Lytechinus pictus: one gene and its partners. The protein of the gene in region 1 interacts with the protein of each later gene in a pairwise test. Links are inferred from orthologs where the notes say so. Each region holds a gene or a part of one and is shown in the gene's direction. Other genes may lie near its edges.

What was found.
Region 2: the proteins of TRAF3-interacting protein 1-like (region 1) and FGFR1 oncogene partner 2 homolog interact in a two-hybrid assay, tested with the Homo sapiens proteins (2 studies listed by IntAct). The link is inferred for Lytechinus pictus from reciprocal best matches to the Homo sapiens genes TRAF3IP1 and FGFR1OP2.
Region 3: the proteins of TRAF3-interacting protein 1-like (region 1) and spectrin beta chain-like interact in a two-hybrid assay, tested with the Homo sapiens proteins (2 studies listed by BioGRID and IntAct). The link is inferred for Lytechinus pictus from reciprocal best matches to the Homo sapiens genes TRAF3IP1 and SPTBN1.
Region 4: the proteins of TRAF3-interacting protein 1-like (region 1) and KAT8 regulatory NSL complex subunit 1-like interact in a two-hybrid assay, tested with the Homo sapiens proteins (2 studies listed by IntAct). The link is inferred for Lytechinus pictus from reciprocal best matches to the Homo sapiens genes TRAF3IP1 and KANSL1.

What each region holds. Positions count from the first base shown.
Region 1 is NC_087247.1:57,288,450-57,297,041, forward strand, and holds the start of TRAF3-interacting protein 1-like, read left to right. Parts: upstream 1-5,028; 5' UTR 5,029-5,199; coding exon 5,200-5,322; intron 5,323-8,592.
Region 2 is NC_087253.1:9,977,796-9,985,998, reverse strand, and holds the start of FGFR1 oncogene partner 2 homolog, read left to right. Parts: upstream 1-4,790; 5' UTR 4,791-4,913; intron 4,914-7,613; 5' UTR 7,614-7,621; coding exon 7,622-7,759; intron 7,760-8,203. UniProt on the Homo sapiens protein: May be involved in wound healing pathway.
Region 3 is NC_087251.1:20,134,934-20,143,502, reverse strand, and holds the start of spectrin beta chain-like, read left to right. Parts: upstream 1-5,077; 5' UTR 5,078-5,369; intron 5,370-7,898; exon of another isoform or gene 7,899-8,285; intron 8,286-8,569. UniProt on the Homo sapiens protein: Fodrin, which seems to be involved in secretion, interacts with calmodulin in a calcium-dependent manner and is thus candidate for the calcium-dependent movement of the cytoskeleton at the membrane.
Region 4 is NC_087247.1:49,525,538-49,533,320, forward strand, and holds the start of KAT8 regulatory NSL complex subunit 1-like, read left to right. Parts: upstream 1-4,627; 5' UTR 4,628-5,538; coding exon 5,539-7,202; intron 7,203-7,623; coding exon 7,624-7,783. UniProt on the Homo sapiens protein: Non-catalytic component of the NSL histone acetyltransferase complex, a multiprotein complex that mediates histone H4 acetylation at 'Lys-5'- and 'Lys-8' (H4K5ac and H4K8ac) at transcription start sites and promotes transcription initiation.

The sequences.
Region 1 (8,592 bases):
GTTATTTGTTATATTCATTGCTTGTTTTAAAACTTTCCATGTATTTTGCATATCGCGCTTGTAAAGTTGTAACTGATTAGTAAAGTATCTTTTCTTTTCTAAACGTATAATTTTTGTCAATGTATTTTTGTAACAAGTATATTTAAGTTTGGATTGCTCAGAGCGTTTCATTTTGTATTTATAATATAAATTATTCTTTCTATTATCGAACGCAAGAGCGATTTAGAAATCCATGGGAGCTTCGGTGATTTTTTGTAGTTAAATGTCTTATCTCTAAGTTTTGGAATATGGGTGTCAAAGTGTAAATTAAAAATGTTCATAAAGTTTTCAAAGGACAAGTTAACGTCATTATTATCAAAGACACAAGACCAATCAACATCGTCTAAACTAGCACCCAGACGAGCTATATTTTCGTGTGTTATTCTACGTTTTAATGGACGGCTATATATGTTATTGAATCTGTCTTTTAAAGAGAAATTAGTCGAGACAGGGAAGTGATCAGTGATATCAGAGAGTAATATGAAGGAATCGGGTGGGGGAAGAACGTTACAGAAAATATTATCAATAAGCGAAGCGGATTCATTGACTACGCGTGTGGGTTTAGATATTAAAGGTAAGTAAGAAGCGGATAAAAATATTTCCAAAAAATCTTGTGTAACATTATTTTGTTTTAATAAATCAATATTAAAATCGCCCATTATAAAGCAATTTTTACTATCAAAAATTGGATTTTTAACCAAGTCTGAGATATGATCTAGAAATGATTTGATATTCGAACTCGGAGGCCTGTATATAACACCTATGATAATGTTTTTGCTGTTAGGGATAGTAATTTCAATAAAAAGAGATTCAATTGTATCAGACATGCTGTTAAGCTCGTCTCGAACTACATAATCATAAGATTGTGAAACATATAACGCAACGCCCCCACCCACCCTATTTTGTCTGTTGTTAACTAAAAGATCATAACCATCGAGAGCGAATGGAAGGCTTGAATCATGAGAAAGCCATGTTTCGGTTAAACCTACTACTGAAAATGTTTGCATGGGGGGATTATCTAAAAGTAACCGTAATTCATCAAAGTGTTTGTTAATGCTCCTAATATTAAAGTGTATAAGAGAAAAAGAGGAGTTATCAAATTCCTTAACAACATTATTAAACTGGTTATGGGTGACGTATTCAGAACATGGACCTGGAAATTGGTTATCAGTGTCAAAATCATAATTCAACTCTTGCATGTGATGATGAATTAAATTTGTCTGTAACATGATTTTCAAAGGAAGTAACATAGGGATTTATGTTTGATTCACTTTCTACTAACGTTGGTCTAAACAAGTCAAGAAAGTCATCATCGTTAATTGTATTGAATGGTGTATCTACCGAATTTGCCATATTAAAGAAAAATCAGAAAACGCATTTTTTTTTTTAGATGACATTAAAATGTCTATAGCAGGAACAGTGAAATCTGAAATACAAGTCCCGGTCAGAAACAGATAAACAACAGTCACGTGCATGAATGAGAAGAGGTACTGAAGCAAAAACGAACAGAAAGGGAACTTACAACATACAAAGCACGATACACAAAGGAGGTTCAAGGAACCTATGAGCATGATGAGAGAAGAGGCAAAGGAAGTCCGCTTATTGTGTATTGAAGGATGAACAAGCCGTAGTTTTGAGCATGTGCATTGTCCGTTGCTTGAGCCCACGAAGGCACCTGTAGAGGGCAGTAGAGAGCAAAGTAATGGTAAATGAAAATGACGTATCATGTAAGGGAGGTTCAGGCGAGAACCCGATTTCACAAAACGAAAATGTATACTTTTTTTAGAAATAACACCCTGTTATAAGTATGGAGCAGAAATGAATTAATATAAATCATACGCATTCAAAAGCAAAGTGTTTAATCATATCTTAAGAAGATGGAAAAATAAGAACTCTGACTTTGAAAACAAAGTTAAGGTCAGATGTAAATGGATAAAGTGGAAAAAAGCTTTGCATTTAAATAATCAAAAAGTATCTCCTTGAAATCAAATATTTGTGTATATTTTGGTTCTAGCATTACTTATACAGAGTATGGAATCATGTGTGAAAAAGCTTACCCACACTGTTAAGATGCTGTTTTGATGGGTACTGTGAATATATAGTCGGGTGTGAGCGGAGGCCGCAATACTTCCAACTGAATGAGCGATTTGTATAATCGTTGAAGACTTCATCGAGAAGGAATTAGTAGATTTTAATTATTTTCATTATCTCTGCCATAATTCCATTTACTTAAATTGTTTTGTTGGTGTTTTTATTTTTAATATGGTATCTTTTAGCATTGAATGTTTTTTCATGAGTAAAAGCAAAAAATTGTCAACCCAAGTAAGGGGATTCGTATTATTAATAGGATAGCTTGTAATTTTATCAAATCCTTTTATTGTGGGCTGCAAAGGTTTTGGTGCCTTTGAAAGACATGAATCCTTCTGTTAGAATTAATATTGTTCTGTCAAGCACACAATTTGACTTGTTCATGGAATCAATGTCCCCTTGATAATAGGATTCATGTCTTTCAAATGCACCATAACCTTTGTTGCACATAATAAAAGGATATGAATAAATTGCAAGCTCTTCCATTAATAATGGATATCTCCTTGCTTAGGTTGACAATTTTTTTTCTTACCTAATATGAAAGAATATTCAATGCTAAAAGATAATACAATTTAAGTAAACATATTTAAATGAAACAAGGTGGTTTTCGAACCACCTTGTCTCGCCTGATTTCGCGATAATTAAAATATGCAATATAATCTTTTGACCCCATCATCCTCATGAATACACATGTATTATTACCCAAGAATCATAATTATGTGCCAAGTGTGAACATGATTGATGCAGAAATAAAGAAATCAGAGCAAGTTAAACAAAACCTTCAAAAAAGGATGGACATGAACACATATCATTTGACCTTTTGACCGCTAGACGACCTTCGACCTCATTATTCTCATGGAAAAATATGTAAAATTATCCAATGATAATATTTACCAAGTATGAACATAATTGATGTAGAAATAAAGAAATGAGAGAAAATTGAATAAGAACTAGCAAGAAGTCATCTGAAATTACGATGCAGACGTCATAGATAATTTCACCCCTGCATTTCTTGTTTGTTATCTGCTTTGTTTTGTTTTATGATGGTGGGCCCCAACCAAGTCTGCGCACCTAACAATTTGATTTTGAGTTAACTTAACTGGGTGGCGTAGCTAGGATTTTTTTCCTGGGGGGGCACTGGGGGGTCCTTGCTTTTTCAGGGGGGGCACCATTTTTCCGGTGTGTGTATGTGTCACAAGGGCGGATCCGGCTTTCGCCAATAGGGGACGGGGCCCGAAATTATCTTCACCTATATTTTCCCCGATCAGTCCCTTCTCAGTTTTATTCTTATAAAACAACATAAACATGAAATAATCTCATAAGCCTTATAAAAAGTGCGAGCGCGAAGCGCGAGCGATTTTTTTTAACTTTCATGTATTTTGTCCTGAAAATGTGATATTCTGGGCAATGTTATGTGTGATCCTGAAGAAGATTCGTATGTAACTAGATGGTTACTGCGAACGCCAAGCGTTAGCAGAAATTTTTATTAACTGTTCTAGCATTATCGAAAAGGGACCTGTTAAGGAAGATGGTATATATTTCAATAATGCGAGCGCGAAGCGCGAGCAAATTTTTTTGACATTCCGACCTAAAAAAAATTGTCATTCTAAGCACTTTTTGTATTAATAAATGGGATAGTTATGTAACTAAACAATTGATGCGAGCGCGAAGTGCGAGAGGAAGAAAATTGAGATTTTAGACCTAAAAGCGGGACACTATATTCATATTTTGTAAATCATGAATAGGATATAGTTAATTGGGTATCATTAATAATGCGATCGTGAAGCGTGAGCAGACAATTATTGATATTTTGATGTGAAACTGGATAATTTAAGTACATTTTAAATAAAGAACATGCAGGCTATCGCGCATGTTTTAGATTTAGACCTAGAATCTGGGCATTCTGAATACATTTGTTTAATGGAACATTATGGAATACACGTAGCCGGGACACGTAGACAATATGAACTTGGCAAATCAAACAATGTGACCACGCAGCGTGAGCTTAAAATGCTGATATGTAGACCATAAAATGGACATTTTACAGAGCACTTAAATTTGTAAATGAAAAAAAATAATGAAAGCTCGATGTCCGAGCTAAAATATGTTTTGTATATTGACTTCAAAACTTGCTCCATATCAGCCTATTGAGCAAGATATGAATCTCATCGAACAGGCAATTCTGGCGCGAAGCGCAAGAAAAAAATTTATAAAGTAACATGAAGGATTTTTTTTTTGCAAGTCTTCCCCTCACATTATATCATTCACTCGTCTTCCTCCTCTTATTTCCTCTTCTTTTTTTTCTTCTGTCTTTCTTCTTCTTTTCCTTTTTTCTTTTCTTCTTTCTCCCTTTTTTTTTTGCTCTGCCATTTTTTTTCAGGGGGGGCACCTGGGGGGGCACACCAAATCTCAGGGGGGGCACGTGCCCCCCCAGGCCCCCCCGTAGCTACGCCACTGCACTGGCGTTGTGGCGTGCGCCTGTAATCCAAGCTATGTGGGGAAGTTACAAATTGATGCAGAGGTTCGAGCCCTGGTCACGTCTTTCGGATGGTGACGTTAAAGGTCGGTCCCAGACGTAAATAATCATATCTGATTGATACACGTCTGACAAAACTCAACTACACACACACACACACGATGATCAATATTGTCTAATTTTCTGGCATTTGGCGCAAGCCTGTTTTTGAACCCCTCACAAAAACGTCTTGTGTTCGCTCAAGCATGAACGGAACTATTTTCTTTAAAAAAAGCATTAGAAAGATAAGACATCAGAGCATCTATTAACATCAAAATATAGACATCATAATTTGAAACAAAATTTTGATAGACTTTTCTAAACTGTCCCGTTTTTTTAATACGCACTTTTTAGTTACTCGCCCTCTACGGCCTAGAGTAGGAGACAAATTCTCCGTTGTGAAATTCCAATTACAATAATTTGTCATCGAAATGGCGTCCCGTTTCTAGGAAAAAACCGGTTACCAACAGGAGTAACGAGCCTCATCTTGTTCGTTTTCGTGGAGAATCTTACCCAGTTTCGGATAGAGATATGAGGTGACATTCTACTAGAACATAATGGGAGAGGAATATATTAAGAAAACCCAGGATTCTCTTGGGAAAATCATAAAAAAACCACCGATGACAGAGAAGCTGCTGAAGAAACCTCCATTCAGATTTCTACACGACGTTTTCACAGAGGTAAACTAAAACAAGTTGGATCTCGATTCTATCGAACGTGTAATTGTAAAGTGCCAATGGATTGAATGTCAATGCAATTTAACTTCCACATGCAGTGATTCTGTGCACATGAAGAAATTACGATGCAGACGTCATACTCATAGATAATTTCACCCCTGCATTTCTTGTTTGTTATCTGCTTTGTTTTGTTTTATGATGGTGGGCCCCAACCAAGTCTGCGCACCTAACAATTTGATTTTGAGTTAAGATTTAACATGAAATTCTTCTTATTTCACAAAATCTTTCAGTTAATAATGTTCCTTAGGCCTATATTATTATTAGTAAGTGTCCCAAATTTCTCATTGAAAAATGAAAGAAAATAAAGGATTTTCTTGAAAAAACCTTGGGCAGTCATTTTCAGATTGAAAAAAAAAATGGTATGGTAGTGGATCGTAGAACTATTACCGAACACCTTTCATGAATTCAATCATATCAAACACACTATTCTCATAAACTTCACCAAACTTTCACCATGAATACACAATTACCTACAAAATATAAATATGTAAACATTTTGCCGAAATCGTTTGTCCTATTTACGATATTAGCTTCCAATCGGACCCCTCTTCGCATGTGAAATATTTTGGTCACTTGAAAAAGGTATCGTATTACCGAACGTGTGTTTTCTATGGGAAAAGTTGAGAAAACAACAAAATCACTGATGCGCTATTTTGACCATATCTTATTATTTTTCGAATATTAAGACTTTGAAATTGTGTTTTTGACAATTTTTCATCATCTTTCTATTCAAGTTCTCTTTGAAAGGATGTTGCAAAATTTTGAGCGTATGGAATTATTTTCTGATGCGTATGATGCGCACGTTCGGTAATACAAGACCGGTCGGTAATACAATCACTCACTATACCGGTATGGCAGTGTATCCTATTGCCGGACACCTTTATTTCAGTGCTTTAAAAATGACAACTAGAGGAAATACAATCAAGAAAAAAATCACACTTGCTATTCCAAATATTATGAAAACTATGAATATGATAAAATTATTTTCTATTTACCAACCATTTTCTTTGCATCGCAGTTGACGCATACCCCTCCACGAAAAACAATTATTTTCGTACGCGACAAATTACATCATGATTCCGGACGCGCGCCGGACGGGTAAAGATATCCTTGATTATAATGATGTAAGAACAAATTTGTGTGATTTTTTTCTTCTTATTTCATATCATGAGTAAATTCTAATTTTTTAATTGCTTTTTATATTGAATATGAGCAGATGTTGGTAATAAATTTGTGTTTGATAACTTATTCATTTTTTCTTGTTAGCTGCATGTTCCATGGCACTTTCCAATAATATATGCTCGCGTTCGTATCGTGATGCTCATCAAGTTCTATCGATGCGCTGCCGATCGACGGCTCTACTCACGGTAAACCTCCCGCACAGGTACCTCGAGAACTAGCCGTCGACGATCACCCACAATACACCACACCTCATCATTCGATCGGAGGAGTGGACGAGATTGAAATTCGGCAAATCAGGCCCATATTTCCGTTATAAAATATATCAATTGTTAATGCAAAACTATGTTATATGATATTTTAAGCATTTTCTGTCATTTTAGAGATAAATAAGGTAAAAGTTTGATTTTTTCGCCTTGTTTTTGCAATCTTGTTTTACAACCAATGTATGTATTGCTATGTGAAATTGAATTGCGGAAGTCTTACAGTACGAAATTGTTTTTGAACGCAGTAATATGCGCGTCCGGAATCATAATAGTGTCCGGTAATACAATACGTGACTATACCCCATGTCTGCGCACTCATTCACTTTGCACACGATTCAGGGATTTTGATGAGAAAGACTGCATTTCGTGGCCGTCACATGAAATGCCCTAAATTCATTATTTTCCATTATTTTGAGTCGGATTTTTTAATGAATACCTGTCTATGTATTGCATGTGTAAAGTCTGTGTTCGTTGCGTATCTTCTTTTACTAGAATCGCGCAGATATGCGAGTGCGCAGACAAGGGGGACTGCGCAGACTTGGGGGAACTTGCCATATAGGTTCTAGACAGGGTGACCAGATTTTACAAAATGAAATACGGAACAATCGACGAGTGGATCGACCAAGCTGGATGGACCGAGCCAGGTCTTAATAAAAAAAAATATCAGCAAAGAAGGCTACACAATATTGGGCCTGTAAACAAATTGTAATGAAAAGGAAGGGAGGGTGAACAAAAGATGAAGGAGAGAAAGGAAAAGAAGAAAGAAAGCAGATGAAATGTGTGAAAGAAAAAATGAAGGAGAAAGGAAAACAGAGTAAAAAAAAAGGAGGAAGAAAGAAAAAAATGTTTCCGTCATTCTTTGAAAAAGAGGAAGGAAGGGAAAGATTAAAGAATAAGGGAAAATAATTGGAAGGAAAAATGAAAATAAAGAATGAAAGAAAGAATGAAAGAGAGGGAGGAAAGAATGAAGGGGAAAAAGTAAAGAACATGAAGGAAATAAGAAAAAAAATAAAGAAAGTTAGAATAAAAGAAGGATGAATTAAAGAATGAATAAAAGAAAAAGGTTTCTGTCTTTCTTTGAAATGAATAAAGAAAGAAAGAAAAAGAAATGAAGGGAAGATGAATGAATGTGTGAAAGAAAAAATAAAGGAGAGAAAGGAAAACAGAAAGTAAGAAAAAAGGAGGAAGAAAGAAAAATGTTTGTACTTCATTCTTTGAAAGAAGAAAAAACAGGAAGGGAGGAAGGAAGGGAAAGATTAAAGAATAAGGGAAAATTAGAAGGAAAAAAGAAAATAAAGAATGAAAGAGAGGGAGGAAAGAATGAAGGGAGGAGAGAATGAAAAAAAAAATGGAAGGAGAGAAAGAATGAAAAAGGAGAGGAAGGGAGAATGAAGTAAAAAAAAGTTTAAAGAAAGAATGAAGGAAATAAAACAAAAATTTAACACAGAAGGAAAGAAAGAAAAATGAAAGAAAGGAAGAGGCAAAAAGTTCAAACTTCAAGGAAACGAAAACTGAGAAGGTAACCATAACTTTTTTGTTAGGCCTAGATCTACATGTAGGCTGCAACCCGGGGGGGGGGGGGGGGGGGGGGGCACTCAGTATATAATGCATAGTGGGTATGTGCCGCGGAGGGGACCCCCATTTTTACACTCAAATTTCTGTTCCAAGGCATAGCATTTTTGTCTTATTGAGAAAAAGAACAAGGAAAGCCGCTCCAAAGCATAGCATTTTCTTATCGAGACAAAAGAAGAAAGAAATCCGCTCCAAA
Region 2 (8,203 bases), on another chromosome or scaffold:
CAACAATATTACAATGTTCGGCGAGCCAAGAGAAACAAACTTTATTGAGTGGAATACTTTATCGTCTGACTTCACAATTTAGTATGTAGTAATAATAATAATATACAGTTCTTGTATAGCACATATCACATGAATAAAGTCTCTATGCGCTTCCAAAGGAATTGGATATTATTACCCCAGCTGTAGCTTGGCAGCCGTAATTACTAAGATGACAGCACACATGCATTTCAAGGAATAAATTCCTGCCAGGTACCCATTCACTTCACCTGGGTTGACTTGAGTGCAGCACAATGTGGATGAATACTTTGCTGAAGGAAACTACGCCATGGTTGGGATTTGAACCCACGACCCTCTGTTTTCAAGACTTAGCCACTGGGCCACAACGCTCCATGTAAAACATGGCAGAACTTAAACATTTTAAATTTGTTCAATTTCTGGTAGGGCTCACTAAGTTTTGAGCACACTGAGTGTAATGATAAAAAATACAAAATTTTCTGCTGCGACAGTTTCTCGTCTGCTAATATCTCTGACGATATATAAGGTTCTGGTTCTGACTGATATGAAGGTTAATATTAAGGTGTGTATTTTTGAAGATCAGGGCCCCATTTGATAAACAGTTGATATGATCGCAACTCTTGCTGGGATATCATTTACCATGACAACAGTAGAACTTCTGCTTCCTGATTGGCTCTTCCAATGAAAGTTGACTTTCCAGCAAGAGTTGCTATCATAGCAACTTTTTATGAAATGGGGCCCAGGTTTTATGTTTAGCTTTGTCATGTGTGACGGGGCAATTGTCACAGAGCAAATGTCATGGAACTTGATCAAACATGCCTTATTTTTTATAGAAAATCTGTTTTTTTACCAGATATATTCGTAAGCATTGTAGCAAATGCATTGCATAACTCCATGTATTCCATTCCTCTTAATGTATTCCAAAAACACAAATGTCTTTCCAAAGTATGTCTTCTCCAGAGAAAATGGTTGTATATATTCCATCTTTAAAAAAAAAAATATCAATGATGTTTTTAAAGCTAGGTATCTAATTATGTATATATTTGACAACATTTGTACTAAATCTGCAGTACCTGCTTTATAGAAGGTTAAATATTTATTTTATATGTATTTTCATAGTGGAAAACTGATAATATATCGTACTGATTTCTCTTTACCATGAAATGTTATTCTGTATGTATTTTAGGTAAATATGTTGATCATGTTATTGATTTCAATGGTATAGCAGTCCTATTTATAGGTCATTACCTCTGCAGTCACATTTCCCGTATCGTGTCCGCATGATGAGTAGGAAACGGGTGTTTTGCGGATTTCTATTCGAACCACATACATGAAGCTGGTACAAAAATTGTAAAAGGCCGTTTTTGACTCACTGTACGGCCATAGTAGACAAAATGTGACTGCGCCAGAAGTAATTCTAGCACCGCATGTATTTTTCTTTCTTAAGGAGCTAAAGAATGATATTTTTCAGTTAGCATGTCAACGGTAGGCTATTTTGCAATCTTATCATGGACATAAAATCTGCAGTTTGTGTTCATAATGATAAAATTCCCCAATATGGCAGACAGAACAGTAATTTTCAATTAAGTCTACGCCAGCTCTATTTACGTCCCCTTTGGTCGGATCCAACTTGGTGTAATCTTGGTCTACAACCAGTTTCGTCTAATTGGTCTAGTTGGTCTACTTGCCACGTAGCCCAATATATAATTTTCACTAATTTCCAGAGAGGCTTTAACCTTTTTTTAAAATCCAATATCCATTTATGCTGCACATATTTACTCGTATCTGCCACTAATTAGTTTTTTTTTTTCTCCCTACATTGTATTTTGATAATCTATCTCCTTTTTTTTTCTGGCACAAAGTAGGCCTATGCTATTTCTTCTGAGGCCTGTAACACAACAATAGCAATCATCGTAGAACTTTTTTTTTTTACCGTTGATTGCATTGATTACATGTATAGTGAGTGATTGTATTACCGACCGGCCTTGTATTACCGAACGCGCACATCGTACGCGTCAGAAAATAATTTCATTAGCTCAAAATTTTGTAACATCCTTTCAAAGGGAACTTGAATAGAAAGATGATGAAAAATTGTCAAAAACACATTTTCAAAGTCTTAATATTCTAAAAATAATAAAATATGTTCAAAATAGCTCATCAGTGATTTTGTTTTTTTCACAACTTTTCCCATAGAAAACACACGTTCGGTAATACGATACCTTTTTCAAGTGACCAAAATATTTAACATGCGAAGAGGGGTCCGATTGGAAGCTTATATCATAAAAGGGACAAACGATTTTGGCAAAATTTTTACATATTTATATTTTGTAGGTAATTGTGTATTTATGGTGGAAGTTTGGTGAATTTTATGAGAGTAATGTGTTTGATATGATTGAATTCATGAAAAGTGTTCGGTAATACGATCCACTACCAAACAATTAATCGTGAAAATCATGAGTAAGATTAATCGTGAATCTTTGTGAACCCTGGATTCGCTAACATCTCATATTTTTACTTTTAACTGTTCATCAACTCTGCCTGCGATTTTTTTCTGTACATGTTTGTGCACTAGTTTCGTCTTTTCAAGTTCTGTTCTAAAGTCTTATTTATTTTGCATAATATTAGGATGCTTTCTTACTAACTTGCCAGAAAGGTGCATTTTGCAAGCCTTGCATTAAGTACTTAGTGTATATCCCTTTTCTTATTTTGTATTTATTTATTTATTTTATTTGATTAATTAATTTTTTTTTTTTGGGGGGGGGTGTATTAGCTGGGCAACTCAATTTTAGATAAATTTGATCTAACAAGGATCTGTTTTGAGCTGAACTGGTTAAAGTAATCTTAAGTCAAAAAAGGAGTTTTTACCCAGAGTTTGATACGAGTTAGAAATTACAAAATGAAATACATAATGAATTAGGATACTTCTAAACTGTTTTGAAGGTTTTTTTTATTTTTCTTTTCTTCTAGTATTATAAATGATAATGATGGTGATTTGATAGTCATTATTTTTATATATAAAGATAATATATGATATCATCAATATAACATTGTTACTGTAATTGTCACTTTTATTATTATCATTATCATTATTTCTCTAATTTCTATTTTTAGTACTTTCATTATTATCGATTGTTGTTACAGTGAGTATTATTACCTTGTAGTATATTGCTCATGAAAAATACTGAATCATGGTAAATTGAAGAAAATAAGTGCACTTTTTATGGATTTTGTATTCACGGTACTTTATTTAGAGAGAAAAGGGAATGCATCTCAAATTAAAAGCTTTTTTGTCAAGTTTAATTGACTGTTTTAAAGAAGTATATGTTTTTTATGAGCTCCGGCCCAAACCAAAAAGTGAAAACTGATTGATTGATATATAGATTGAATGATTAGTTGTTGATTGATTGGTTGGTTGATTGATTGATAGATGAGTGGATGGATTGATGGATATATGGATTGATTGATTGATTTATTGATTGGTTGGTTGATTGATTGATTTATTGATTGGTTGGTTGATTGGTTTGTCAGTAGATTGGTTGGTTGATTTATTGATTTATTATGTTTGTTTGTCAGTTGGTTGGTTGATTTATTGATTGGTTGGTTGATTGATTGATTTGTTTGTTTGTGTTTCAGTTGGTTGGTTGGTTGATTGATTGATTTGCTTGTTTGTCAGTTGGTTGGTTAATTGATTGATTTGTTTGTCGGTTGATTGATTGGTTGATTGACCGATTGGTTGGTTGACTGATTGATGAATTGAACGAATGATTGATTGATCATAGTGTCTGAATGGTTGATTAGTGGCTTCATTGGCTGATTTGATAGATGGATTGATTAACTAGCCTGATTGATCAAAGGTTTAGGCTACTTGTTTTGTTTTATTAAGTCATGATTTATCTGTTGATTGGTGTATCAGTTCAGTGACATTGATTAACTAATAACATTTTTTAATGATTGATTGTCTGAGTGAGTGATTAATCGGTTGATGGACCAATTGGTTGGTATTAGTAGCCTTGCATATCCATAAAAAAAAAAAAAAGATGCACCTGAAACAGATTTTATTCACATTTCAAAGTCAAGAACTACATGATAAGTGTATACTTTTCCCAGAAACATAATAGATTATGCAGCACTTTTATCAATTTATTGTATATCTATACCTTTATAGAGCAATGTTAATGAATCAAGTTGAACACGGGCATCCGTGTTTTTCCGGGAAAGGGGGGATGTTAAGTAAGTATAATCAATATAATCAGTATAATCACCCCCCCCCCCCCTTTCCCGGGCCTGGCTGGTCTCTGTCCTTATATGTCCCCTTTTGTGTACTCCCTTTTGTACATAAATGTGTTCCTCTTCTCTCCCCGCCTCTCTCTTTAGTTATCATATTATATTATATTGCCATTTCTTTGTTGTTTATCCAATGTTCTTTGAATTCGTAATGAGGAACCTTAATTTACAAGCATTGCTTCACTTAGGTCTCCTCGTCTTCCTTTAAAATTATTTCTTTTCTGTCTTAAGCTGTATAATGTATTTAAAAACAATGTTTTCTGCATACTCTGTTTTATATATACCTGTATGTTTTATCATGTACTCTGCTCATTGTTTCATACACACTTATATGTTTGTCATGTATTCAAACTCAAAGTTGGAAGACAAATAAAATGAACTTATGAACTTATGGTATCGAATCCCGGACCGACTTCATGATGGATGGAACGCTACGAGCTCGGCCAAGCCACGGAACCATGTCGATGTCGCGTCGCGAATTCACGAACAGCGCCATCTCCGGTGAACTGCATGCCAAGATCAGAGAGATAAGCCAAAATTGAAGTCGGAAGTGACAGGATTTGTTTTGCATTTTATGCCTTTCCTTTCTTTTTCCCAAAGCAGGTAAAAGAATTGTGAGTATCTCTCGTTTTTTCTGAATGAATTTCATTGACATCTTGTTCACTTGTATATTCCTAAATTTGTAATTCATATTGCTAATCGAGTGACGACAGCCGGCTACGCTAGTAGTAGTACCGGCGCGGTAGGTACCGTAGACGTAGTACCGGTAGTAGTAGTACGGTACGCTACGCCTACGGCTAGTTACACGCCGCGCCTCGCGGGTCGAGACACCTTGGCTTTTCACCGGTATATCGAATGGGGCGGAGGAGGCGGAGCTGAGGCACATCGCATGCCGGGATCGCATGTATAGTCACGTATAAACTATAATTCAGGAAAATTTTCTTAGGTGGTTCCCACTTTGAAGAGTAGATAAAAAGAGAGATTGCCAATGAGATTTATTTCATCAGTGATGATTTTGACGAAATAAATCTCACTAGTAAACTGTCTTTATCCTCTCGTGAAAAATCTGAAATTAAGATAAATTCCCTATTTTTGAATATTTGGGGAAGTTCTTTAAGTTTAAATGGGTTGAATACTGCCGGGTTGAATACTAGTGCATGTACAGTATTTTGCATTTGAAAAATCTAATTCTGATAGTATGAATCCTAATATTACTCTACCAAATTCAGAAGTTCAGCAGCCTGAGGCTGAGACTTCCAATATTGGAAGACTTCAAGAATCAGAATTAATCCAAAGACCAAACTGACTTCACACAGTCAGGCCGATGTTAAAGATAAATTCCAGTTGTGGGGATGATCTCAAAATGACTTTTTACAGAAATTAATATAATGATCACCAAAATGTCTGTATGAATAAAAAATATGTGCCAAAGGATTCTGGAAGAAATTGTGTGCTTGCTGAGAAATAAGCAAAATAAGCGCGGATTCTGTCACTTCCGTTAGGTCTTTATTCCAGCAATAATATTAATACACTGTCACACGTGTGCCTATCTGCAGTAGAGGCGCACGGCCAATATGGGAGACTCTCTCCAATAAGGGAGACAATCTCCCACATTGGAGACTTGCTTTGCAAAAGGACAAAAGAAACAACACCAACAAAAGCATGATTTTTTCCACCCAAAATTTTGTCTCACTGAGGTCAGAAGCCCATTTGTTTTGTGTGTGATTGACAACAAAAATCCTTATCAAAACAAAAGTAGACGGTGAATTTTTAAAGTAGACGGTGAAAAGGGGTAATTTTTCATGAGGAATCTGCTTATCACATTTTTATTTGCCGCCAAGTTAATCCTTTTGCAGCAAATGTAAACAAAGGAAATTGGACTCCAAAACTGGAGACTGTCTCTGAAATTGGATACCTAGATTCTTTACAAAAGTCTCTGATATTGGAGATAATCTCCCACATTGGAGACAGTCTCCAATATTGGCCGTGCGCCTCTACTGATCTGTGTTGGCGATCTTCAGTGTGATAGTTTTTTAGCTTAGATATCATGATTTCACAAAGTTCAGTTTATGTAACTGTACCAGATCTAGATCCACGATGATATAGTAATACTTAACCTTGGTTTTACAGACTTTCTCACGAAATCAGTATTTTACTGCAACTACTGTCATTTAGCTTTAATCTAAGGGATCTACATTTTCGTGTCAAAATTTGTGATCAATGACTTAAACTAACTACAGTACGGAGCGTAGGTATACAATGTACACACTTACAAAGAGTTGCGATGGGCCCCGTCTTACAAAGATTTGCGATAGATCTGATCAAACTCAACTACTGTTCAAAAATATTTCTAGAAATGATGCATTTTCAATATTAAAATTCATTGATTTCTTGACAATTAGGTGTGTTTGCCGTCGTTACCAAGGACATTTTATAGATTTCCTATAGGTAGAAAAAATATGACACTGATGGATTCCAATAGACTTACGATTGATTGGATCAATCGTAACTCTTTGTAAAGATTGGGCCCAGATAAACCTCGACTACTGTTATATGGAAATCCATCGATATCATAATTTTTCCAACAGGTCGAACAGGAATCTTTCACAATGTCGTTTTGTAGACAAAGAAGAGCACACTGAATCAACAATGATGAATGTATGAATATTCATCGAAATTATCAGATTTTTTTTTTTTTTACAAACGAATTATTTTAGATGTTGATGTTGCTGGCGTTCCATGGTTGTGGTTGATCGGATTAATCGCAACTGTTTGTTAGACGGGACCCGGATGTGTAGATCTGCATGTTCATGTAACCCTTCTAAGAGCGACAATGATAGTTTTGTTGAACTGTGAATTTAATGTCGAGTATTGCCTTGTATCGCCCTCAGATCACAGCATGATGACCATGATGTCCATTGGTGCAAGAAGGCATTTAGAAGGTTGAAAGAACACGACAGTCCTTTTAGGGTTAATAGTCGATACCTTGGTCACATTTGTTCTACGGCGGCCGTACGGCGAGTCGAAAACAGCTGTTTTAACATTTGTTGTACCAACGACATATACATGTAGGTGGTTTGAATTAAAATGAATAAAACGGCTGTTTTCGACTCGCCGTACGGCCGCCGTAGAACAAATGTGACCAAGGTATTAGTCTTCAGATATGTGACCCTCGTAGTGTTGGCTCTGCCCATACCTCTAACTTGACTAAATGACAAAGGCAAAGTAACGACGATTATCCTGCCCTTAGTTTATTAAGCTATTTTAAATTTTTGCAAAATTTTAACGTCAAATTATCTTGTGTCACCTCCTAGATCGTAGCATGATGACATTGTCCATTGATCAAGTACTGTGTGATGCAAGAAGGCTGGTTGAAAGGTTGAAAGAACACGACAGTGCTGCTGATCATCTTATTCAAGAAACTACAACTCTGAACAAGAAAATTGAAGTCATGAAAGAGGTATTAAAATGTCTCACCCTCCACCTGAAAAACTATGACAAGTCACTGTGTAGGGCTCAGTGTAATTAGCTTATACCCCTTTCATAAACCCAATTATGCGGCTAACAGCAGCATAATTTGGTCGTAAAATCGGAGGAGGACCAGAGTTATCCGCATTTTTTTAATGCTGCAATTATCCGCATAATAGCAGCATCGGGACAAGATTTTGAGTTTATGAACGTATTTCCAAATAATGCGGATAATTGCCATGGTGCGGTCACAAGGTCACCCTTTTCCAACACATCGCATCTGAGGGGGCGTGTCCAGTTGTCATGACGATTATCCGCCTTTTTCAGGACGGGCGCTCGTAAAAATAATGCCGATAATTTTCGGAGTTTGTGAACGCAATTTTTATTGAATTATCCGCATTACTATTAGGCGGCTAATTGGAAGATAGGTTTATGA
Region 3 (8,569 bases), on another chromosome or scaffold:
GCCATTATCGTGATAATGCTCTTTAATACTGTCATTTTGATTTCATCTTACTTTTTAACAAGGGGGCGGTAGTATTTTGATAAGGGGGCTATCCTAACGTGACGTACTCTTTCTCCTCTTGATAGAATAACAGAGATCATTTAGAGTTACTTGACCCAGTCTCCTAGCTCTTTCTGATTGTGTTCCTCCTTTTCCCTTTTTTTTCTTTCATTTAATTCCTTTTTGGGGATCTAGATCCAGAACTATCCTAATACTCTTCATTCTTCTTTCCTCCGTTTCCCACTTATATATATATTTTTTCTACTTATTGAAAAATCACAGGGTGACTACCCCCTGTAATCTGTTATTACCGACGTATTTTGGCATGATTCTTTTCGTTAATCGCGATTTTAACACTGCACAAAACTTTAAAGGGGAATTACAGCTAGTCCTCAGTCATAGGCCTATGGAAATTCACTATTTTTAACAGTCTTTTTCGTATTCATATACTAGTAGTCGATGGCTGCATTTCCTATAATGTAGGACATCATGTCAAGTTCATTCCTCTGTCAAAATTTACTATATGGCGCCAGTGGATTAGATAAACTGGGGTGGAGAGTGGAGTGGTGTCCGCAAAGAAAATGCTTGTACATCAGGTAGAGGATTGCAAACGTACTATTTTCAAATGCGAGGCATTGTTCCCATTATAATTCCTAATTCAGAATTAAATCATTAAGGCAGCTTATATCAACATGTATTTTATAATTATTATCTCACCACCTGCATGTTTCCTAAATTACAAAGTGTGTCATCGTAATGCAATTCATGGAGGAGATTGCAGTTTATAGCTCATTAAGAAATTTGACATCTTTATTTTCTTGAAACAAGTCCACTTGTTAACTTAATTAATGCTATATTTTTATATAAAATTATTGGTGATTAGGCTACGTTCGGGTATTGGTCATTTCATAATGCAATAATGAAAAACAATTTAAGGGATAAAAGAAACCATAATCCACAAGGGAGAACGCGTGCATAAAGATGTTCATTGTCCAAATCAAAGAAAGGTTAATAAATTATTGCATTCTTGTAATTACAAGTGACACTGAAATTATATGCATAATTCCTTAATTTGCATGAAGTACAAAATGTCCCTGCGCGAATGGCATGAGCATGTGGTTTTCTCGTGATGCTCATTATTTCTCACTAATCATCAGAATTAGACAGTTAATTCTTGAGTAGAGAGGGGAATGATGCTATGATAGAACATTCAAACGGAAAATAAAATGTCGAATTTTATACGTGCTTTTCATAGGGGCAGAAATAAGAGCAATATTAGAAATAATATCGTGCACGATGATACCATAGTACGATTATTCTATAAGTTTTCATGATTATATCTTAAATTACAGAAACTAGACCGTAAATCTTGATAGATTTTAGGATATAAAAATAGAACAAAATGAAAAATGTATTGCTGCTATTAATTCAAGACAATGTTCAATGAACTTGAGTGATAAGACTTATCGAATGCAGAATGCGACCCAGGCCTGCCTTATTTTAGCCTTTTCTGACTTTTCAAAATAAGTTTGAATATATTACCACTCTATCCCCCCCCCCCCACATTTCCACAAGGATTAATTCGAGATCGTTTTTAAATGTGTCATGTGCTAACTCTTGATATAAACATTAGACAGGCGAAGACAGTGTTCCTATGCAATAATGACATGACTACATTTTCAGAAATTTTCTGATACTGATTAGGACAGTTGTAACTTGCTATATGCTTTCATCTTTTACTGTATTATCCGACTCGAGCGTTTATAGTCGTTAACGTATTAAATAGAGCTATGATGAAAGAACGAAAAGGTGACAGACCGGAAAATTTGTCTTTTGACTTCTAAAGTTGATCTTTTGCTTCAATTCGCTTCCTGTTCTTTGTTCAGGTTCTGTGAGTTTGCCTCACAAAAGATCTTCCATTATCTCCATCGTCCATGGAAGGGGTTATTAATGATCCTACCATTAATAGCCAAGTATTATTCATTTCTTTTCAAAACGGTATGCAACCCTGCCCAGGCATGAAATAAAGTCGGCGATTTAGCTATTTCCTTTGAGGATTACCCAGGTTGTGCTATTTACAGTAAGATTTCTAAATAGCTGGATAAAATCGTAAATATCAACATTCTGAAAATATATCCTCAATATGAAGACTTGAATATGCCTATAAAATACAATTACCTTGATTATATAAATTAGTTGAAAGAGAATCCTTTTAAAAAGAGAAAACTAGTATAGGCTACACAGCTGCCTGTTATCAATGATAATATTGAATTATTTCTTCCGTGACACCTAATGGCTTTATGGATGTTAAAAAGATTTGTATTCTTGGATGTATATCTTTGTGTCAAACTTCCATTCGACACTGCCATGCTATAACACAGAGCAAAAGAAACAAACAAAACCAAACAAAAGTACATACGTCATCACACCTCCAGAAGTGAACCCCTAATACATGTAATAACGATAAAAGTGCACTCATGTACACTGTCAAGTTAGTGAGGTGGGCGTGTCCTTATACCAGGCACCAGGGATGGTCCCCTCGGGTCATCCAGGGTCAACGAAATAAGAGTCGTCGGTTTTACCGTGGACCTACTACCTCATCCTTCGCTTCAGGGTCCGCACTGCTGGCCCCCTGTGGGTCGTAAAGTATCAGATTACTACCACTTTCTCACATGATACAAGATCGAGTAGTGGTAACTATGGAGACAGGAGTTTGTCAACATTCCATTAAGCTCAGATTTTGTGACCCGATGAGGTCACGGAAAAACTTGTTCGAAATCTTCCCGTTCCCTTGTTTTCATGCATCATGAAAGCATGAGAGTACGTTTAACCGGCAATTAAAAAACTACTATTAAAATAAATAAAGCGGATGGAGGAGCATTGTGCGAATAAAGGGGATTCTTGTATGTCCAGAAAAGTGAAAGAGGATATAGAATCATGCTTCAGATCGACTGGTCCACTGCACAAAGAGGAGAGTGTCCGTCATTTTACATCTGTGTAAAATGTGTGGTGTCAGTCCAGCACCATGTTATTACAACATAATAATTTTTGTGTAATTTAAACGCTCGGGGGGGGGGGTCAAACTGTATTTTGTCTTAAAAGAGACATTTTGTGCCTGTTTTTACCCAGGAGAGACGTCACAGGGGGAAGGAGACGAGTCAGACGACCACCTCATTTATTTATTTTTTTTAAAAAAGGGAAACGGGAAGGATAAATGAAAACGCTTTGAAAAAAAATAATAGGCGCTATATAAGTATTGAATTTAGGAGGAAGAAATATGAACTAAGCCCCACCCCAAAAAATAGATAGGAATAGAAAATAAATGAATGAATTAGTAAATAAATGGATTAATAAAGAGACAAATAAATAGATAAATAAATAAATAATTAAATAGATAGATAAATAAATAAACAAATAAATAAATAAAGTTCTGGGTCATCTAATCATTCATAATATCATTAATTTAATCAACATTCAGTCATCGATCTTCTCCATCCTGTCATAATGTCTGATATAAAAATTACTCGGATTAGGCCTATTTTTTCCTGACACCACTTTCCAAGCCGCGGCCTCACCCTCGTCCTTCAATATGAAATTTGTTTCAAAATTTTAAACTGTTTTATATCAGGCGAGATTTTTCACCAAATATCCTTAGGCCTATATATTTGGATATCAGGGCCAGATTTTCATGAAAAGATGTAACACTTCAAATTTCAACCGATGGAAACGGTAGCAAAAATATATTGGGACACCAATGCCCGCTTCAGTGTGATCATTTTGGATAAAAAAAAGGAAGTTTCGACAAATTTCATGCTGTTTGCTTTTTGGATTGATATACAAATCATCTTAAATTCATGGGAAACTTGACTTGAATTATACGTTATGTTAACGAATGTTTTCGAGTCACAATGATATAATTCATATTTGGCCTTATATATAGAATCGCCGAATTGGGTTAGTGTTAGATAAGGTTACACCGTGGACATGATTACACTAAGCAATATATTGGTTCACGATATGGTTATTATTAAAGTTTCACGATATCGGTTTTGGGGCGGTGACACTAGGAGTAGGCATGGGGCGACCACCCTCTATGATTTGTCAAGAAGTGGGAAAAGGAAAATAGAGGGAAAGGGGGGAAATAAATGGGGGGGGGAGAAAGAAAGCGGTTTTGGCAGTGTAATACCCCTCTGATAATTAATATTAGAAAAAAAATATGACGTTATATACCTTTATGGTAGTTTTGCTCCCGCCCCCAATCAAAATATTAATGTCGCCGCCCCTGCCTCAACATAGTAACTTCATTGGGTACACTGCCTCTGATATAGACTACGAATGTTTTGAATATCTATCCTGGCATTCAGAATGATGATTGATGAGGTAGGTTCTGAACTTTTGATGTATTTTTAAGTTCACTATGGGTAGGCCTATATACCACACCTTTCCTTCGGCGCTAGCTCACGTTGAGTAGAGTTATTCAAAATTGAGGAAGTTATTGATAACACAGTGACGTCATACGAACGTTACCCATCTTATTCTGAACATGCATGGTAAAGTAAAGGCCACCCTACTTTAATTTGCAAATACATGTAAAAATATTGTGTTTATACACAGGCCTGCAAGTGTCCTTTTTGTTCCTTTATAAAATTATACTTGGCATACTTAAGTTTCTATGTATATTGTACATGCCACATCCTGACGTCATACAATATTATTATTGGGCCAAGTTGAGATATACTTTCAAAATTTATTTTTTGGTTTGGAGTAAGCGTATTCATTCGTTAACTCTGTCAAACAAAGAAAGCGTGGCCCCATCCTATTTAGTTTCAAATCTTAAACGAAAGGAAGTGGACATCTTCTCACATTGTATACCAATATCCGATGCTTTGGAACGTCGCCGGATGCTGCTAAATGAATACCATCATTACGCATGCGCGTGCCCTTTCTCCCGCCAGACTGGATGCCCTTGTACTTTTTTTTTCTTTTTCAAAATTCATTATCATCCCGCATCGATACCACGGTCTCCGTGGATAGTACCAATGGATTATGGTGGTATCATAGACAACATCTACTTCATAATATAGATGACTGAAGTGTAAATAATAAGTGAATGCCGGAGATACATTTTTTTTGCTGATGAATCTGGGTCGCGAATATGAGTCTGACAGACGACACGGCTACAAGCGTGAAATGTAGCAGTTTCTGGAATATGGTTTGATTTTGTGTTTTCTCGGAAGTCTTAGTGATGAAGATCTGCCCTATATGTTTCTTCTTGGATAAATTAATAATTAGGAATATAAACACAGACATCGTTACATTGTCAACGAGAGGTAGGCTATTTTTTAAAGGTTTATAGTTTGATTTTAACTATTACATCATTCGCTATCAAATATGATGCTCAGACAGGGGGAAGGTGATTATTTTCTTTATTTCTTAACTTTTGATTTCTACCCCTCCAGAAAAATAAAAACACAGCAGGAAAAATAAGTACCATGTCATCCAGATTAAAGGAGATAGGTGACTAAATCTGACACCAACTGAAATTGAGAAGTCATTTAGCTTTGCATCCGATTTGATGAAGTTCTCATATTCCAAAGACTTTATTGTATTGTGTTTGATTAATGATATGGGGGAGACTTTATAAGACGGTAAAGAACCTACAATGTAGGCTTTGTCTAGTACAGAAAATAAGTTCAATCATGTTCACTATTCAGTGGGATGCAGGGGTGCCCATGCTTCGGGCCTAGTTGGGAATCGGGGGAGTGGAAAAATGACAAAAGTTTTCGGGCCGCTATATAATACAGTATTCTGAGCTCAAAGCGCTTAGAAAAATAGACGGATAGACATTATTTGCATGTTATAGTATTTTATGCCAACTTTAATAGTTTTATATTAAATGATTTAGTTTTCAAATTAATGGGCGATTTTCATTGGGGTCACCTCTTGTGGGCGTCATACCTATTTAATTTCTTTATTCATAATTACCTTTTCCCCCATTTGAGTGTACGATCATGGTCCAAAACCTTACATCATCGCCAGGACTAAATACTGATCCCTGCCATCTTCATTAAATCAGTGCATAACCTAGCTTACTTTTCTTTGGGAATTTATTCCAAGTTTCCCCAAAACAAGGAGAATATTTTTGTTATTGACATGTAAATCTTTCAAAGAAGATCATTTCATGATGGCCGGTTTATTTTTTTTTAGCTGAACAAACAGAAGCATAATGAGCCAAACATTTGAGGAAGCCAGTGGCAAAAAGGGCTACGAGCGATCTAGCTGTTGACATGATACTCAGAAAATACTATCATCACCCAGGGGCGGTGGAGCAAAGGTGAAAGTGGGGGGGGGGGGGGCACAGGAAAAAAGGGCACATTTTCTTTTAAAAAGGGCACTATCTTAAAACAAAGAAAAATTGGTCGTGAAAAATTTAGGGAGGGGCAAGAGCCCCCCCCCCCCCATCTTTACGCCTCTGCTCATCTACCCCACTCACATGACTCATGAAGTTTAAGGCACGTAGGTTTTGAAGTAACATATAAAAATGTGAATATCGTTTTCTTGTTTCAAAGGGGCACTCGATAACACATAAAATGGGTCCTTCTCAAATGAAAGGGGCACTAACACATTCTTGTGGGGCACTTTTCTTGAGTAAAAAGGGGGAACTGATACGAGATAGGGCAATTAGAAAGAAGGCAGGGGGGCACTTGCTCACACACAAAACGGGTCCTTCTCAGGTGAAAGGGGCACAGAACATGTTCGTATGGGGGCATTTTCAATATAAAAAATTGGCACTTATACGAGAAAGGGCACTTGGTAACACCTAAAATGGGTCATTCTCAGGTGAAAGGGGCACAGAACACGTTTGTGAGGGGCACCTTTCTTGGGTAAAAAGGGGCACTGATTCGAGAAAGGTGGCACTTGCTTACACATAAAACGGGTCCTTCTCAGGTGAAAGGGGCACAGAACACGTTCGTGTGTGGCATTTTTCTTTGGTAAAAAAAAAGGGGGGGAACTGATACGAGATAGGTCACTTACAAGAAGGCAAGGGGGCACTTGCTCACACACAAAACGGGTCATTCTCAGATGAAGGGGCACAGAACATGTTCGTGAGGGGGCATTTTCAATTAAAAAAAATTGGCACTTATACGAGAAAGGGCACTTGGTAACACCTAAAATGGGTCCTCGTTAGGTGAAAGGGGCACAGTACACGTTCGTGAGGGGGCATTTTTCTTGCATAAAAAGGGCATTTTTCAGTGCTTCAAAAAATGGGGGGGGGGGGCACTGTTCCCCAGCCCCCCAGGATCGCCGCCCCTGATTTTACCCTTTTCTCTTTCATTTTCTCCTTTTTTTCTTGGTCGTTATTTTTATTTTTTTGAGGTCCATGGCCCCAAGTCTCCATTTGTACCCCAGTGTTCACATTTCTAAATAATGTATTAATTTTCCTAGAATGTCCTTAATGCAAAAGACCGGGGGTGGGGTATACATGTAGGCCTAGGCCTATCACTTTCATGGAGAGATGGCACAATATCAGTTTTTGGAGGAGGACCCACGGTGCTCACTTCATCTTATTAGCTCCTGCTTCACTGTGTGGCACTGGCAATGGATGGCGTCTTTTCACCCCCACTGCAGTCTCTATCATTTTCAAAACATGTAGCCATACCTCATTACTTGAAGTAAAGCTCTGACGCAAAATTTTTGCAAAGTACTTGGAGAATAAAAGAAAGTTCTTTACTTTTGCGGTAAAAAATGGGCGTGGTCATAGTGGTCCCGAAGTGTAACAATCGATGGAATTATATTTTGAAAGTTTCACTCCAGTGGCTCTTTGACTATTGATGAACAGTAATCAATAACCGAAAAGGGAACAAATCCGTATGATCATGTTAATGTACTTGAGACTGCTCCCAAACTAAAACCAAAATTCTATTGCCGATAATAAGCAAACAGAATAAGACACATTGGAAGATGAAATCAACATATTACACCATCAGCAATGCATACTTGTGTACTTTACCAGCCAGCCAAGCCTCTTCTCTGCGTATGAAACATAGTTCGACTCTTCCTATTTAGTTTGCACGTAAATGGGATACACAGATGAATGCGCGTGGCGTTGTGTTTCGGCTGGCCCGACTGAGGATCTATCGTATGTGGAATGAAAAGCCTTGGAAAATACTAAAAGGACCTGTTATCAAGCTGGATTTTAGGGATTTTAGTAGCTGGAATATACCATCAAGCTATTTTGGATTTAGGTGAGATTGTATTATATATAATTAAAAGAAGGGGATCTTCGTAATGTTTCCGTACATGTTTCGGGTGTGTGCATCTTGAGTTAGTCAATCAAGCCTGGGTGGATAAAGGTGTTGAATAGGGGTAAAGCAGCCAGACGTAACGGGGACATAACGGTACACGATCATCATCATACATAGTGCAGCTAGCTGTGTGGACTTTCCAAGCAATACCAATACTCAATACTATTGAATAGTAATAAATCATGTGCCTTGTGAGAAACTAAAGGGATGTTATTCATTGATTA
Region 4 (7,783 bases), about 7.8 Mb from region 1:
AAGACTATATAGTAGGAAAAAAAAACAAAAAAAACCTGTATATGTGAAAAAGAGGAAGCAAATTGCCTAAAAAGGTAAAAGCAAATATAGAAGAGAGGGGGTGTATTATGAAGAAACCATAGTATACATTTAAATAAGCAAATGTGGTAAATCTAAAAGAGGCGAGTGGAGAAAAAAACAAATATATATATATATATATATAATAATTATTATATCGCCTGAATAAGGAAGGAAAAATTGGAGCTGAGCTTGTATGAGATATGGGAGGAAAGTAGAGTAAGAAACTATAATGTAACTATTCAAAAGAGCTGAGGGGAAAAATTATATGTATATATAAATTGATAGTGGATAGGAAAGAAAAATCAGTCGTTCCCCTCTTGGATGTTCAGGCCATGAGGTTGGGTGGTGCGAAGTCGTCTCATCCAGAGCTTCTCCCTGCTAGTACGGACTGAGTCAGGACGGGTACCTAAAGATTCGATGCCCTGTAGCATCATGTCAGTGATGGAGTGGTTGGGGAGGTTAAAATGGCGGCCAACTGGAGTGTCCAGCTTTGCTGTGTTGACGGTGGATCTGTGCCCGTAGAATCGTTTCTTGATTGTGGTCTTGGTTTCCCCTATGTATTGTACCCTACAAACTCGATCTGCAAGTGATGAGATATACAACATTAGTGGTAGTGCATGTGATGTTGCCCTTGATTTTGTGAGACAGGCTGGTAGAGTTGCTGGTGAAAGTATCGCCCTCGTGAAGGTGTATTTCACATATGATGCACCTGTTGCTGGTGCATTTGAAGGTGCCATGCTGTATGGTAGAAGAATGGTTAGTGAGGCAGGGCACTTCAGCACGAACAATGAGGTCCCTGAGATTCGGTGGGCGTCTGTATGCTAGAAGGGGAGTATCGGGAACGGCCTGTTGGAGACGATCAGAAGTGTGTAAAATGTGGTGGTTATTTGTTTTTAAGTCAATATGGTTTACTAGTAATATGGAACTCTATTTTTTTTAAAGAAATAATTAAGATTTACGCTCCCCCAACTAAGGGTATGGGGTGCGCTCCGTTTATTTCATATCCTTTTGAATATAACTTCATTTTGTTTGTATTCTTTATTCCGGTTTTTGAGGTAAAATAAGTGTAGAAGATACAAGAAATGAGAATTGAAAGTTAAAAGTGGTTGTAAGCATAAAAACCGTGAAAACTGACAAGAGTCCTAAAAATGACTCATTTTCAGGTCAGCATTTGAAAATTTCAACTTGCGCTTTGTGCTATCTTGCCCCCCCCCCCGGAAAATTCTCTGTAGGAAAAAAATGCCCCTTTTCAAAAATCGAAAATGCCTTATTTTCCAAATGAAATGTGCCATTTTTCAAAAAGAAATACCTTTTCTACATGAAAACATAATACATTTTAGGTTTGAAAATCACCAAATTTTGCATTGTGTTTGCATCAATAATAAGTACGGTACTTATCCTGTTCATGGTTACAAAAAATGTTTAGAATGTCTAGTTTTCAGATTGGAATATCACAAATTTTTGGCTCGCGTTCTGCACTCGCATCAGTTATTGTAAAGTAAGGTACTCAGTCTGTTCCCGTTTACAAAAAAAATGTTTAGAATGTCCAGTTTTCAGGTTGGAGTATCACAAATAATGCACTCGCATTATTTGATTGTAGAGTTATTATCCTATTTAGGAGTCACTAAAATGAATACATGTCCTTAACCATGTTAACAGCTTCCTTTTCTGCTCAGTATATTAAAAATTTCAGCTCGCGCTTCGCGCTTGCGTTAATTCTTTAGTTAGATACACATCTTTTTCATGATTACAAAAACAGCTCAGAATATTTAATTTTCATGTCTTATTACACGAAAATAATGTCCAAAAGTTTGAGCTCGTGGTTCGCACTGGCAACATCTCGCAAGGGTGCCCTTTTAACACGGAATAGTGCCATTATTGACCAAAACAATCGAGTTGCACAACTTCAGAATTGATTTTTTTTTCAAAACCGCTTGCTCGCTGCTCTTTCTCGTGGAAAAGTAAAAGCCTAAATCAAAATATCTATCTTATCAATTAGAAATCACTTTAAAAAGGCTTTACTCGACTTAATTTCTACAAATCACACAACTACTTCATGCAGTTGATAATCTCATTTTGAAAATATCTGTTTGCACCAAAAGGCCCATTTTGACAATTAAGTACCCCTTTTGGCTTTGACCCCCCAACAAAAATACGTTCTGCAGCCCCTGTCCCAGGGAGTGGAGAAAGACATACGTTGAGAATGGGCATGTCAGGATGCCATGGTAATAATAATTATTTTGATGTAAATCGCCTATAGAAATATAATGTATTAAATATACAAAGGTATATAACTATATTATCATTTATTATTAGGGCCTATGTCTAAATCTATCATGAAATTATTTTTGTTTTACATGTACATTTACAAGGGTCAAAGTTTTGCTCGCTCAGTTCACTCGTTCACACCTTTTATACATTTTCCCTGTGTGACATGTCTGCCGCCTAAGCATTAATTGTTAGCTCATTGTTCCATATTATCGAAAGTTTGAAATGCCTTGGCCTTGGGTTTCCATGCCTTGGCCTTGGGTATTGAAGCCTTGGCCTTGGGTATTAAAGTCTTGGCCTTGGCCCGGTTTGAGCCTTGACTACAACACTGGTCACGGATTTACGCCAATGCAATCGACACCCATTGCAATTAATGAACATGACTTAGTAGGCTGTATACTATCTCGACAAACTTCAATTTAGAAAAATGCTGAAAATCTATCAAAATCTGATAGAAAATAACGAAGATATCCGTTCGGTTATTTATATGCACATCGATCGTCATGAATATTCATAAGGTGGGCAAATGAACTGATGGGACTGATATTAATACATGAAATCATCATTATTTCATATTTTCATACCAGTGTGTATGACCATGTCTCCTAGTAGTAAAATAAGTAACAGCAACAGTGCACTAAATCAGTTGTCAATTCTTTTTTTAAGTTCCCCCGATTTTGGATGACAAAATTTTAATAAACATAACCGGAATATGACGTCATCAGTTGGCATGAAGACATGCATAGTGCACATGATCTTTAAAACAATAACTTTGTCATATACCTTGTCCGATTGCGATGAAATTTGCACGGTCATTTTGTTTAATTCTTATTCATCTGTTCAAATCATGTTTTGTCGGGATTACCCATTCATTGTGTAACTTATCTCTTTTTCCCAAGTAAAGAGATAAAACTAAACTTAGGCCTAAACTACACTGTACAGAATATAAGAGAATAACTTGAAAAAATGTAGGTTTTACTGTTCTAAATCAAATCAAATCAAGATTTACACTTAGGCCTATACCACTTTTGTATTTGGTATCAGTGCAAACAGCACCTAGGGGAAGGGAAGATGTACGATCTGCATAATTGGACTAAACTTCCCGAAGACAAAACAAGAAAGCGAAAAAACAGTTGGAAAAAAAAAACATTAGGCCTACTAGTACATATATAGACCTCTACTAAAAAAGAAACTTTCTGAGTAGGACCCTATGGCTTAATTGCGTGTTCACGGTGAAAGACGAACCTGCATGGGAAAGATTGTTCAGAATTAAAGTTTGTCTATAGCAACAACATAAAAAAGGGGGGAAATCACTTCATTGTCAATGAGGGTATACAAAACATATATGCTAGGGCTACAAAAAATATAATGCATGATACCGACCACATTTCAGAAAAATGTGTGGAGTCAGATCCACGGTTCGGCACCTCAGGGCTCAGCTGCAGAGCAATGTCGTGACTCGTGAGACAGAGTTTGCATTCCCCATGCGCGCAGTTTTCCGCTAATTTCCCGTTGTTGTAATGATGTCAACTGTACGGAAAAAAAAGACACCCACTAACAAAAAGACCAAAAAAAAAAAAATACAGGGTGGTATCATAGAGCTATTATGGTACTACGCATTGGCATAACATAAATTTATTCCTTAGATAATAAAATCATAAAAATGCTATATTCGAAAATTCCCTTGTTCCCAATTATACTGCCAGAAATAAGAGTACAAGATCGAGTGGGGAAACATCGAATTCTGATATAAAAATTCAAAGTTTCGGGACTATATTAAATTATGATCCCGGATAATGCGATCGAAACATGAAATGATTCCTCCCTTTTTAGCACTTAAGTCTTTCCACCGTATCTTCTATTAGTTAGGACTAAATCCCTATACTTCGTTCGAATCAATTTTAAGCATAGATTTTCTATCCTTGAATTGATATAATGCTTTATATCACATAATAATGCTTACTTTTCGTAATAAAACTGATTTTGTTCCGTGCTATTTTGCGAAAGTTTGACTTCATATCGATAGAGCGCGAACTTGATGGCTCTTTAATCTCGCATTTTCCCTCCCCGTATTTACGTCTTTATGCGAAATATTTTTTAAGATAAAATTTCATTAATTTGCACCTTTTCATGCATGAAGATGTATTGTTACATAAAAAAACGAATTGATGGAGTCAATTTAGGGGTGAAATACTATGCAAGAGCGAGGAAAAATAATTAATAATTATTTACTATAAGATTTTTACAGGGTATTTTTCCGACCAACCGAATAGCTCTAAACAGCCAATCACGCAATTCCGCCTATAGGGGGTAGACCAATTGACGTAGAGGCAGATGTTAATGAAGTCGCCTGCATTTTTTTGTTGTGAGAATGGAGATCAATGCCTGAGCACGTCGCCATATTATGCGATACTTTTTTCGACGTCGTAGGTTGGCCATGGAAGTCAATGATGAATAATGTGATGTGTGTGATTGTTGGATTCATTGATTACCCATGAGGAGTATACGTTAGGATGTTAAATTTTGACAAGAGCAAGGAAATATGTTGATCAATTCGGAAAATAATGGGTGTAACCCGCATGCATAGTCCGATCGCTTGTTTCACGAACGTGCGTGGAACCTGTCCAGGGGTCACGTGGTGTTGCTTCTCATTACCGTCCATGTTATGATTCTCAGTTTGCGAAACGTTCCGTTCAAACATTCGTCAGTGCAACGTTGTTTTCAATTTGACGTCTAAAACTGATCCTCTTGTCGGTCACTGAAGACGGAAAACGATACTCGTAAATATTGATGGAGACCACCTTCCCGGCCTAAGCGCGGGAAATAGCTATACGTACGTTGATCTGGTGTCTGTCACGTGTGGTAATCGTTCGGCCTGTGCCTGGCCTCTGTTATTGTTTCCATTATCGCCTGCCTCACCTGCGGCTTTTTTTGGATGGACCGATGTTTATGAAGAGAGCGGGTTGAACAAACACATATCTCTATACTATAGCATTATTTGTGTTTTGGTATTGCAACATTTGTGCTATTGTAAACATATGTTAATTGTTATCCTAGTATTTAAAATACAAAACAATTTTTTATCTCGTTGGACGGGTCGTCTTCGAAAGCTTTAATTAGTCATGTTCTCCAATCAATGGCAAGTGTGACGCCGTACAGTGGTGCCGTTCCCACGGTACCCTGTCCGCATAGCGCTTCGCTTCCCGTCGCATGTGGTCACAGTTCCCGCTGAGGCTATGTATGGCTGCAATGGCTCCGGCACTGACTGATGCCGCGGCTCATACAGGCTCCTTCAAGTTGCCAGCTTCGCCTGCTAACCCGGGAAGCAGTGGTGGCCTGCAAGCAAATCCAAATCAGCCAACAAGCCCAGACTTGCCCTCATTGGCAAATGGTCATTCTCCGGCAGTACCCGGTGGTGTAGGCAAGCATTATTCTCCAGGTTCGAGTCCCACCACTCTGTTGAGAAACCACGAGCCCACTGTATCGCCAACTTGTTTCACCATTCACACCCACTTTCTTGAGAATAATAATCACAAGGGTGGAGAAACACTGACAATTTCAGAGGGAAAAAATTATCAGGAATTGCAATCAAACCACTGTAACGGCCCGATAAAAAACAAGTTAAATTCATTAATTTCCACCATCGGCTCAGGCCTGGATCTAAACCTAGATCTACTCGCGAATGGTGAAAAACATTCAAAGAAAAGCATATTGAAAACGATGAACGACTCTGCCGCACCCTTGGCACAGAAAGAGGTAGACCTAGACCTGTTGAACGATAATCACCCTTCTACTCCACCAACATCCAAAATGCCGCCTCTAACAATATCAACTACTGGAAGTCCCAGTCCAACGGGTCCAAAACACTCTGTCGCTACTCACATTGAAAATATCAATATACGAGATAATGGTGATATCGATGAGCATGTGGAGCTCGATACTAGCGATACGTCAAGCAGTTCTCTATCGAATGACATGGATAGTTCATTAAGTCTGTCACACTCTAATGCACTGACAACAGATACAAGTCTTGAACAAGCCGTTGATGACTGTCTTGATCCGAAGTCAGACAATGAGAGCGACTCAGATGAAAGTAGTGTGGATCTTTCTGCCACTACTGCAGAAAAATGTAGTGGAGCAAGCAACATTGTTGAAAAGGAGAAATTCAAGTCCGTTAATGTTGTTGATAAGCTAGAAGTAGGAGGTGACAGGAAACCTAGATTTATGAAAGCAGAAGTGAAGCAGGTTGAAAAATCTGTATTCAAGGTTGTGAATGATAATGACCAGATGTCTGAGGGAAAGAAAGAAGCTATCATTTTGATTCATAAACAGTCGAAACAAGAACATCGTGCAAAGTATTTGATGGAAAAGTTACGGAGATTACAGACATGTCACGTTGGATCTCGGATATATCAACAAATAGGTTCCTTTGTAGAATCAAAACAATCCTGCAAAGAAGCTGCAAATTCTGCTGGAAGTAGCAACGTTACTTGTGAAGAGTGCCGGAGGAATCGTCTTCAGACGGGTAGTAGACCTGGCGTTCTTCCTAGAAGTAGTTCAAGTCATAGCCATACTTGTCCTCTACATACAAACTCTTCTTCAGACCGGCAAAGACATTCGATAAGACCATCATGGTTACCAGCAGGAAAAAGAACTAAGCCAAGTACACATATTTCTCAGCACTTGCGAGAAGGGAAACAAGCATATCGTGAAGTAAAATCTGTCACTGGAAGGCTTCGAGCAGGCCTTGGTCATGTTGAAAGCACCATAGATTCAGACGTCACCGATAGCAGCTCAGGTGGAGAAAGTTGTGATGAAGGAGATGACAGCTTACCACAAACCCAGGCATCCCGTTCATTTCACAAGATGCCTCTGTGAGTACATATTTCAAAGAGCTAAGGAGATTGTAAAATTTTGGCTCTTGGAATTATAGGGCATGCGATATTGTAGGCGTACACGTATTGTGAGTATGGTCACATGAATGAAAAGATGAGAACTCCCATTGAATTTGGAAACAATTTTATGGACATCTACAGGTACACTTTAAGTAAAATATTCGCAGCATTGGTAAACCAGATTATTATCAACTGTTATTCAAATTCCCCCTAGTTGGAACAAATTTTTATGGTCCCAAAACTCCCAATAGATTCAAATAGGCATAGCTGCCTCATTTGCCTGTGTTTTTATCTTGTCCAAAAGAACAAATGTTGGAAAGATTTTAGTTTTATAGCGTTGAATAATTTCAAATTCATTGATGTTGCTTTCTCCCCCCCCCCTTTCCTTTCTTATTCACAGTCACAGAAGAGCATCATGGAAATGGGCTATAGATAGGTCAGCTATTGCAACCAGATGGACTTGGCTTCAAGCCCAGGTTTCAGATCTGGAGTATCGCATCAGGCAACAAAGTGACATTTTCCGTCAGATTCGGGCTTCAAAGGGAGCTGTAACATTGGGA